3 linked regions of the Ovis aries genome follow. The protein of the gene in region 1 interacts with the protein of each later gene in a pairwise test. Links are inferred from orthologs where the notes say so. Each region holds a gene or a part of one and is shown on either strand. Other genes may lie near its edges. The genes, in order: MTUS2, DMRT3 and PRKAA2.

Region 1 (3,652 bases):
CAACCTAACACTGGGAGCGTGTGATGTTGCTTTCTATACTGATACGATAAATTTGATGACGTCCACCAGGTTTCTCCATTGTGCAGATGAAGTTTTCCTTTGTAGGAAATAAAGCAGTCTGGAGGGTGGTGCTCTACGATTGTGTAAATATCCTGTTTCCCAACAGTTCTGCACTTGGTGATTTTAGCAACCGTTGGTGTCCCTCATCCAAGATAATTATTACTCTGGTGAATACAAAGTGGTGATTTTTCTAATTGTCTAATTTTTCTTGTATCAGTTGGTATTCTTCTGTGAAGAAAAACCTTCCTTTCTCGTCCGCCCTTTTAAATCAGTATCAGTGTGAACTTGTGGATTTTTAAAATATAAACTTAAGATTTAATGTGTGTTTATAATCCATTTCTAACATTAATCATTTCGATGTTATGTTCTGCCGTGCCCCTATCAGAAAAGCTCTGGAGAAATAGCATCTGGGTTGAGTGAATGAAGTAATGGTAGGAAAGTGATGAATAAATCTGTTTACCGAGAGTTTCTGTCAATCTACTGTACTTTTCTTTTTATTTCTCTCTAGGTCTCATGGACTAATTGGCTCTCATTCAGCCGGAACCTAACAGATAAGTCATCCTTCTGTGTGTGAAGACAATGCTCAGTTTTAAGACTGCTCTGAAAATGATGAAAGCAGGATCGCCCCAGTGACGCTGTCAGGGGGCAACAAGCAGCTTGAGAATTTCCTCTTCTCCAGGTAGCAGCTTGAAGGAGACCCTTTTCCATTAAGGAGGACTGCATGGCAGGCAGCCCCCACTGACGGCTGGAAAATGAGCGTTCCCGTGGCGCCTAAGAAGTCATGTTACAGTGAATTGCGGGACAGCAGAAATGGAGCAAAAAATAATAACGACCGAGTCCTGAGTTTGGGAGATGCCAATGCCAACCCCATTGTGTTGGAGGTTGGCTCCTCTTCTGACAAGCCTGCCACGTGTGCTGTGCCAGAGGAAGTTGGAAATGCAAATTCGAGGGGACCAGAGAGTAGTCCCCGTGTCCCGAAGGAGTTTCACCCACTTCAGGGCTTTGCAAAGGCATCTCAGGCTGGCCCCACCGGCCTGAAGGATTTTAAATTCTCTCCGATGGCTCAGAGAGAACGGAATGAAGAGTCTGAGCTGGAGAGAGGCGCAGACCACCTGCAGGTCCTTCGTGGTCTCCAGGGACCAGGTGTGCCGAGTCGGAGGACTGTCATGGGCGAGTCCAGCCTAGAGGTTCCAGCTAAGCGGGAGGCTGATGTCCCCTGGCCTGTCGCCAAGGATAAGTTGGCCAAGACCCTTGACAACGAGGAACTGAGGAGGCATCCTTTGGAAAGATGCAGCAGTTCTGCTGCAGCAGTGGACGTGCTCACAAAGGAGTGGGCTGGGGGCCTGGCCTGGCCGCTTCCACAACCCACAGGGCTGGGGTCCCCAGAAGCCCCGCATCCGGTGCCTGGCGGTGGCGAGGGGCCGCCGAAGATGGGGACAGCCCCTTCTCCAGGGCTGCCTTGTCCTCCGGCGGACGGGACCTCAGAGGGAAAGGGCGCACGTCATCCTAAACCATCTACCTCAGTAACCATGGAGACCGTCCCCTTAGAGACCCATCCAGAGAGGGGACGGGTACCCAAGCTCAGCGCCCAGAGCACAGCACCTTCTGCCCATCCAGAGGGTGCTCTTGATTGCTCTCCAGCCTCAAAGGATGTCCTGAGGAGGCCAGAAGCACAAGTGGGTCCAGGAAAAGTGGAGCCCAAGACAGAGCTGAAACCTGTCCAGCCCAGGGCTGTGCAGGAGCTCAAGTCCACCCAGGTGGGCGAGCTGGGGTGTCGTCAGGGGCATGGCATGTCACCTCTTGGGAGAAAGGAGCCAGCTGGGGAGGCGCAGCCAGGAGCCTCAGCTGCTGGGTTAAGCAGCCTGGCACACAGCGTTCCCCACCCCCTGGACACAATAAGAGACAGAGATGAGCCAGAGAAGGGAGGTGAGGACGGGTCTCTCCGAACCACCCTCAAATCGAGCCCCGGTTCCTCACAAGCTGCGGATCAGCAACCCATGGCCATAAGTTTGCCAGGTGCAGCTCGGAAGCTGGGTGAAACAGTGCCCAACGGCGTGTCAGCAGGGGATGGTCATGTAGCTTTTGTTCCTGGAGATTCAACTGACAGCAAGCCCTCTGTTGCCAGTGACGAGAGAGGCGTCCTGGGAGGTGGGAACAGTGTCAACACTATGGTTTTTGACTCAGATTCCTCTGTTGGAGAGAGCAAAACCGGGGTCCCTGAGCCCCCCAACCCTCCAAGCAGCCGCTCAGAAGCCGAGGAAGGCCAAGAGGTCTCTCTATCTCTTGCAGAGACCAGGAACCATCTAGAACCTGCAGTAAAGACTGAAAGCACCTCCCCAGTGAGGGCAGATGTCCTTCTTGGTGTCCCTGCGTCCCTCCACCCAGAGACAACTGTGAATGTGGCCCGCCAGCCCCCGCCACCCAGCAGCCGCTTTCAGGACTTGGGCACATCAAGTGTGGATGTAGGGTCCCCCCCGGCTGCCCTGCCTCCCGCTGACAGCACCGGGTTGTCACACACCTCCCCAAAAGTGCCTGCCAAGAACGCCTGCCCTGGGGGCCTTCCCCGTCCTGAGGACACACCCGCCTCACTGGAGGGGACAGTGGGCCCCCTGGTTGAGAAGAGGGAAGAGCGGGCGGAACCCAGGCCCGTCGTGATGCCCAAGCCCAAGCACGTGAGGCCCAAGATCATCACCTACATCCGGAGGAGCCCGCAGGCTCTCGGCCAGGTGGACGCGTCGCTGGTTCCTGTGGGGCTCCCTTATGCCCCGCCTGCGTGCAGCGTGGCTCTCCCCAAAGAGGACAAGGCGGCGGGTGCCGACCTGAAGCCGGCTGCCGGCCTCTACGAGAAGTTCAAGCCAGACCTCCAGAGGCCCCGGGTGTTTAGCTCCGGACTAGTGGTGTCGGGGATCAAGCCCCCAGGACATCCCTTCAGTCCAATGAGTGAGAAGTTTTTGCAGGAGGTAAGAGAATGTCATTGTGAGACAGTCTGTGAGTTGAACATCCTGAAGTTCGTGAGGTGTTTTCAATGAATCGTGAAAGCAGAGTGTCCTCTTTTAGCAAATTATAGATGATGATGGACGTATTTGTGTAGAAAGGCGTGTTTTGAACTAGAGCAGATTGCAGGCAAATGAACGGTTTCCTCTGGAAGAGACTGATGACCAGAATGAGGTGGATCTAACATCTAAAGGGATTCTTTTAAATTCCACCTGACATAATACATAAAAGTTGGAAAAGCGTTTAAATTGGCTTCCACATTTAAATTGTTCTTGTTGTTGTTCAGTCACTCAGTCGTGTCCGACTCTTTGCAACCCCATGGCCTGCAGCACAGCAGGCTTCCCTGTCCATCACCATCTCCTGGAGCTTGCTCAAACTCATGCTCATTGAGTCAGCAATGGCACCCAACCATCTCATCCTCTGTTATCCCCTTCTCCTCCTGCCTTCAATCCTTCCCAGCATCATCAGGGTCTTTTCCAATGAGTCGGCTCTTCGCATCAGATGGCCAAAGTGTTAGAGTTTTAGCTTCACCATCAGTCCTTCCAGTAAATATTCAGCGTTGATTTCCTTTGTTTTTGATCAGTTGCTTAGTCATGTC
Region 2 (2,379 bases), on another chromosome or scaffold:
CCTCTTTCCATAGGCAGAAATGACATAAACCAAGATCATCTCCTTAGTTTATTTTTTTCCTAGAGTCCTTAGCATGCTACATTAACCTGACAAAGCTTAATCTTGTGTTCATTTCACAATATATTTCATGCAGTTCACAGCTGTGATTGGGTTTACACTGACATTACACATGTTTTGAGTCAGCCATGTGAAAAGAATAATTTTTAATGGAGTCTGTCTCTGAAAACTGTCCAAGCTTAAATAAGCATGTGAGTAGTTCACTCTATTAAGTGCAGTCTCTCTTTAAAATGCAAGAAGGATTTTTAGCATAGGAATATGAGGCCCCTGTTTACAGTCCATTTGCAACCAAACCACTTCTTTAGGTTTCATTATCGTGAGGAATCCTCTTTTACAGAATTGCATTCAAGTACACTACATTACTGAAGATTCCAGGTTGAGTCTAGGGGTGGGGCCGACCTTTGGCTTTACCTCCCCAAAGACATCTTCCATGGGCCCAGGCTTTCCCCAGACCATTCTCAGCATCAGACTCTTTGACAACCAACATTCAGCACTAAAGCCACAGAGCAGAGCTATTTGGCATTTTCCAGTGAAGTGCAAGAAATTAAATAAGTTATGCTTTTTATTGCTAAGGTCTAGAATCAAGCAGGGTCACTTTGTCATATGGCAGGAGAAGGTATACACAGGACGTGGCCTCTCCACAAGGGGAGGGGCTCAGGGTTCAAATGCGCAGAAAATGTCACCTGGTCACCCCCATCGGGCGGCGCCTTAAGATGACGAGTTGAGTATTCGGGAGTCTGAGGAGTCAGACCTCTCGTCATAGTCATCCTCGGTGTAAATGGACTGCTTTGACACCATGGGACACCCGTCGTCGGGGATAGCGATCCGAGGGTCTTCGGGGGTGCGGGCGGGGAGGACGGGCGAGCTTCTGAAGACGCTGGTGGAGTTAGCGGGGAAAGGGCTGACGTACTGGGACCGCAGCTGGTACTGCTGCTGCAGCGTCATGGTGTTCCACAGGGTGACATCGTTGGGCAGAAAGGGGCTCGACTGGTTTCTCGCCAGAGTATTCCTCAGCATCAGAGGGTACCGGGGTGGCTGGGGAAACGGGTGCTGAAGGGGCACGGCCAGGGGGTTGGGGACCATGTTGGTGGAGTCGGCAGAAAACCTCAGCGTGTCGGGGACTCTGAAGGCCGACCCCACAGACCACTTAGATGAGGAGAGGGGGTAGGAGCTCAAGGTGTGCTCGAAGAGGTGCCCGTTGGAGGGCAGCACCAGGCCCTCAGGCTCCCCAGCAGAAGTCCGGTCGGCAGCCGAGGAGGACGAGCGGCTGGAGAGCAGGACCTCCACGGCGCTCACCAGGTCACCCCCACAGCCCTTGAGGATCAACTCCAGCACCGCCGGCTTTTGGTGGGGGAATATCTTTTTCAACACTTCTAGGGGCGGTCTGTTGGCTTTCAAGCTGAAGGGCAGAGACACGGTCCCCGAGGGGCCCTCGATCAGGAGGTGGCTCTGCTCCCCGGGGTACTTGGGGCTGTCGGGCTGGCTCTCTGAGCTGGCCCCGTTCTTCTGGACCGCGAATCCTGCTTCATCCACTGACACGATCTCGGGGCTCTCAGGTGTGAAGCAGCCCTTACTTTTGGCCACGTCTGGGGAGCTCCTCTGGTCCGTGTCTTTGTCGCTGAAAGTCTCAGCATTGTCAGCGGTGCTGCCATCCCCAAGTCGTTCTTCTGTCAAATCTGAAAAGCAGAGAACAGCTGGTTGAATCCTCTCCTGGTGTGCAAAGAACACATGTGCTCAGGAGAGGGCCCTACCTGCCCTTTTTGCAAGGGGAACTGCTTCTCTGTGGGTTATAACATACTGCAAGCCAGAAAATTATCCAAACTATGTCATTAGCAAATGGCAAAAAAACGAACAAACCCTGTAAGTAAGGATCTAGACATCAGAGTGATTTCTCAGAATGGGCTGTTCAGGAAAGCTTGCCTTCAACACAAAACGGTGCAGAAAGAGCCACAGCCACAGATGATGCGGCTATCTAGCAGTAACAGTCTAAATGCAGATCAGACTGGGGATAAACACTATCCAGGGACAAACAGAGAAATGAGCTTGGGCTTGTTTTCTAGCTCCTCTTCTCCAAATGAGGGGTCTGGTGCCACCAAAGGACATCAACAGCTGCAACAGCTGGTGCACGACCCATACACCCAAGGGAAAGTTTAATATTTTAAAACCATTTTCCCTAGGCAGATTCTGTGTTATATGTGAACTAGTCATCAGTATGTTTCATCAGGATACCATGTAGAATAACAAGTCAATATGATTGCCAGAGTAAAAGAAGCCTCCATCCGTGGAAACCTCTCTTAAAAGGCCACTCGAGATCCCAGAAGA
Region 3 (3,752 bases), on another chromosome or scaffold:
ATTTGCATATTCATCACTTCTCAGAAAAGGAACTTGTGTTGCATCTTATCCTTTTTAATACATTTCTCTCTTTACCAATAAATAATGCAATGAGACTTACAATTTGAAGAATGTGACCTTGAAACTCTACTGTCATACACATAGGTAAAAGATGTTCAACTAATCCTTAAACATTTATTCCCAATAGGCAAATGATTTTTAAGCACTGACAGGCAACACTGGAAACTAGGAGACTGAAGGAAGGAAAGAAGAAAGGAGAGGAGAAGGGAGGGCGGGAGGAGTAATCACTGTACTTACTGTATCTTGGCAGTTTTTAAGGCTCTGCCTGCTTCTAGTTTCCTCTTGCCGTTTCCTCACTCCCCCTTCAATCTTTACCTTTAATTTGTGCCCTTACATTGCCCTTGTCCCTTAGGTAGCTTACTCCCCAAGCTCACTACGTTCAGTTTCCCGCTTCAGTTTCTTCCACTATTTCCCTCTTGTGCAGCTCTATCACAATTTCTTTGCTATATATACTTGATTAGTTGTGTCTAACTCTTTTGCGACCCCATGGACTGCAGCCCGCCAGGCTTCTCTGTCTATGGGAATTCCCAGGCAACACTATCGGAGTGGATTGCCATTTCCTTTTCCCTGGGATCTTCTCAACCCAGGGATCAAACCCTTGTCTCCTAGGCGGATTCTTTACCACTGAGCCTCCTAGAAAGCCCATATATTTATATGTCTAAAATACAGTTGAGCAAATATTGGGACTGATTGGTGAACTTTGTGCAAATTAGTTAGAACGGAGAGCTCTAGAGAGGGTATCTCCTCCATAACTGAGAATTAGACAGAACGTAGAGGAGAATCAGTGAAGCCAGCAGAGTTGGCTTTTTTTGTTTGTGCCCTGGTGACCTGTATGAAAACAGTGCGTGACTCCAAAAGCTTCCTTGTGACTCTCCTCCGACTGACCTTCGATCAAGGCCCTTCCCCACTGCCGCCAGCCCTGACTTCCCTCGGACCCACACACTGCTTTTCACGCCCCTCTCTCCCCACACTTCAGGCCTGTTTCTCTTCCCCAGGTTCTATTAATACTTCCATTGCTTTCCACTCGCCAAGATTCGGCCCAAATCTCACCCTCTCATTCGCACCGTCAGGTTCTGCTAGAGGGCCCCTTAACCCGGCTCCCACCCCAGGGCCCCTCCTCCAGGTAGCGAGGCGACATCCTTCCCCCTCCCCGCTCCGCGCACACCTGTCGGCCTCCGACCTCCCCCGCACCGAGCGCCCACGCTCCCTCCACTGCGCCCCCAGGGCCCTGGCCCCGGGCCCACGCCGGCCTCACGCCCGCCCAGGGGCCTCGGCGCGCCCCCGCCCCTGCCCCCCACCTGCTCGCGTCCCCCCTCCCCCCGCCCCGCCCCGCCCCGCCCCGTCTCGCCTGGTCCCCAAGTCTCGGGCCCCCGCCCCCCGCGGGCCCGCTGCACTGTGGGTAGGCGGCGGCGGTGGCCGCGCAGAGGATCCCGCGGCGGCGGAGCGAGGCTGCGCGCGCCGAACATGGCTGAGAAGCAGAAGCACGACGGGCGGGTGAAGATCGGCCACTACGTGCTGGGCGACACGCTGGGCGTCGGCACCTTCGGCAAAGTGAAGAGTTGAGTACGCCGCGCCTCGCGGGAGGCCGAGCCCCGGAGTCCGGGTGTGCCGGGCCGCGAGCGGGCAGCGGGTGGCGGGGCCTGGCGGCAGGTGGAGCGGCCGCGCCCGGGCCGCGCGGAACCTGGGGACCGAGGGAAGGCAGTGGGTACCGCTTCGCCCCGCGGCAACGGCGGCGTCCCGGCGAGGGGGCTCGGGCGGGGGCGTCGCGAGGTCCTGGGACTGGCGTCCAGCACGCTTCTACTGCCCGACCTTAGTGCCCCCCTCTGAAACCCGGAGATTGGGTTGTTGGGCGAGATGCCTTTCAGCTGGGAGGCTGCAAGGACCCTGAGGAATGACCCACGGTCCTGATGGTGGAGTTCCCATTTCGTGCCAGGTGTCCCGTTAGGTGCTTCACGTGTGATCTCCTGTAATCCTTACAGCAGCTGCAGGTGTTATCTTCGCCTGTAACGTGAGAAAACGGGGACCCCCTAGCAGGGACGTGTTCAAGGTCACACTGAAATTGGCAGAACTGGGATAAAGGTCTAAAATGTCCTCCAATTTTGGCCAGGCTGGGAAGTCCTGCTGTCTGGATTCTTTCGTGCTCCCTGACTCTGGATTAGTAGGGCTGGTAGTTTACGGGGGATCCCCGGGGCGCGAGGTGGGTGGGTCTTTCTGCTGGCCTTGGGAAACGCTGGGATGTACCTGGGTTGGGTCAGGGCTTAGAACTGGGAGGTCTGAAGGTTGCTTGTGTGTGTAAAATGGTTCTAGGAAGGCTTCCAGGATGGAGGGAAAGGAAAAAGGGACTTTGGAGTTGGATCTTGAGGATGTAGGGCTGAGGCCAGAATTGCTAAGACGTACTCTGCTGAGCTCTGTGTTCCTAAGTGATGGGATCCCATTTTGGGTGTAGAAAAACAGGCTGCTTTGATTTTTTTTTTTTTTTTTTTTTACTGGTTACTAGTTAAGTATTGAACTTTCCTGTTTTTCTTAAGAGTCATGTGAGATTAATTAACTTGTCCTCTCTCCAGAACTAGAACCAACTTATTAAAAATACTTCTTTTGGTTGTTGCTTTTTTCTTTTTTCATTTTGCTGAGAAAATGTTGGGTAGGCAGCTTGAGGATTTTATTGAGGCCTCTATTTCCTTAAAAAATCATAATGAAAAAATTTTAAGTTTTAAAAATTATAGTAAATTACAATTTTGTGTTAGTTTCTTCTCTATGACATTGTGAATCAGCTGTAAGTATACATGTATTCCCTCCTTCTTGAGCCTCCCTCCCACTCTGCTAGGTCATCACAGAACGCTCAGCCGTTCTCTGTGCCATACCTTAGCTTCCCACTAGCTAGCTGTTTTACACATGGTAGTGTAGAGATCAATACTACTCTTCCACTTCGTCCAAAAATCCTATTTTAACCTTGAATCCAGGCTGTAAGTGGATAGAAGAGACTCGTTCATTCATATGGTAGGGATCAGCTTTTATTTACTTGCACACATCTGATACCCTTTCTTTTGTTCAGTAAACACTTACTGAGTGCCTACAGTGTGCCAGGCACTGTTCTAGGTAATGGGGACACCCTAGGAACAAAATCATTAAAATCTTTCCTTTTGTGGTGCTTATATTCAAGTAGGGGAAGACAGTAATCACTGTATATATTTGTGTGTGTGTGTGTGTGTGTGTGTGTGTAGTATTTTTAGTGCTGTGAAGACAAGTGAATCGGAGTTTTGTGCAGTTCACAGTTTTCAGTAAGATTGTCAGGCATGGCCTTACAGATAGGGTGTATGTTTATATAAAGACCTCAGGTTTGTAAAATTCTTTCAAGTCCTGTGAGGGCTGTGAAGTCCTTCCTGGCTTAGGTTTGCAAGACCTCATAAAGTGGTAAGTGGAGAGAATATATTTAGAGTGAATATATGAAGATTCAGGAACTGGATTAATGCTGTGACATTACTAAGGACTATTGTGTTTTGATGTTACGCACTCAAGTCTTCACCATCTAGGCATGTACACTTTCCAAGTTATATAATGTATACTGTTCCTTTTCAAATTGCATTAAAAATTGTTGTTTTTAAAAAAATTATTGTGTAACCTGAATATTGGCTAAAATACCCATCAGATAGATCATTTGGTCCATTGTCACAGGACAACTTAAATCTCTTTTT

Evidence for each region.
Region 2: the proteins of MTUS2 (region 1) and DMRT3 interact in binary tests that used the Homo sapiens proteins (3 or more experiments, as listed by UniProt). The two-hybrid records come from large-scale screens. The link is inferred for Ovis aries from reciprocal best matches to the Homo sapiens genes MTUS2 and DMRT3.
Region 3: the proteins of MTUS2 (region 1) and PRKAA2 interact in binary tests that used the Homo sapiens proteins (3 or more experiments, as listed by UniProt). The link is inferred for Ovis aries from reciprocal best matches to the Homo sapiens genes MTUS2 and PRKAA2.

What each region holds. Positions count from the first base shown.
Region 1 is NC_056063.1:31,551,507-31,555,158, reverse strand, and holds part of MTUS2 (microtubule-associated tumor suppressor candidate 2), read left to right. Parts: intron 1-568; 5' UTR 569-812; coding exon 813-3,020; intron 3,021-3,652. UniProt on the Homo sapiens protein: Binds microtubules. Together with MAPRE1 may target the microtubule depolymerase KIF2C to the plus-end of microtubules. May regulate the dynamics of microtubules at their growing distal tip.
Region 2 is NC_056055.1:69,252,314-69,254,692, reverse strand, and holds the end of DMRT3 (doublesex- and mab-3-related transcription factor 3), read right to left. Parts: intron 1,734-2,379; coding exon 766-1,733; 3' UTR 602-765; downstream 1-601. UniProt on the Homo sapiens protein: Probable transcription factor that plays a role in configuring the spinal circuits controlling stride in vertebrates.
Region 3 is NC_056054.1:31,181,229-31,184,980, forward strand, and holds the start of PRKAA2 (5'-AMP-activated protein kinase catalytic subunit alpha-2), read left to right. Parts: upstream 1-1,482; 5' UTR 1,483-1,524; coding exon 1,525-1,618; intron 1,619-3,752. UniProt on the Homo sapiens protein: Catalytic subunit of AMP-activated protein kinase (AMPK), an energy sensor protein kinase that plays a key role in regulating cellular energy metabolism.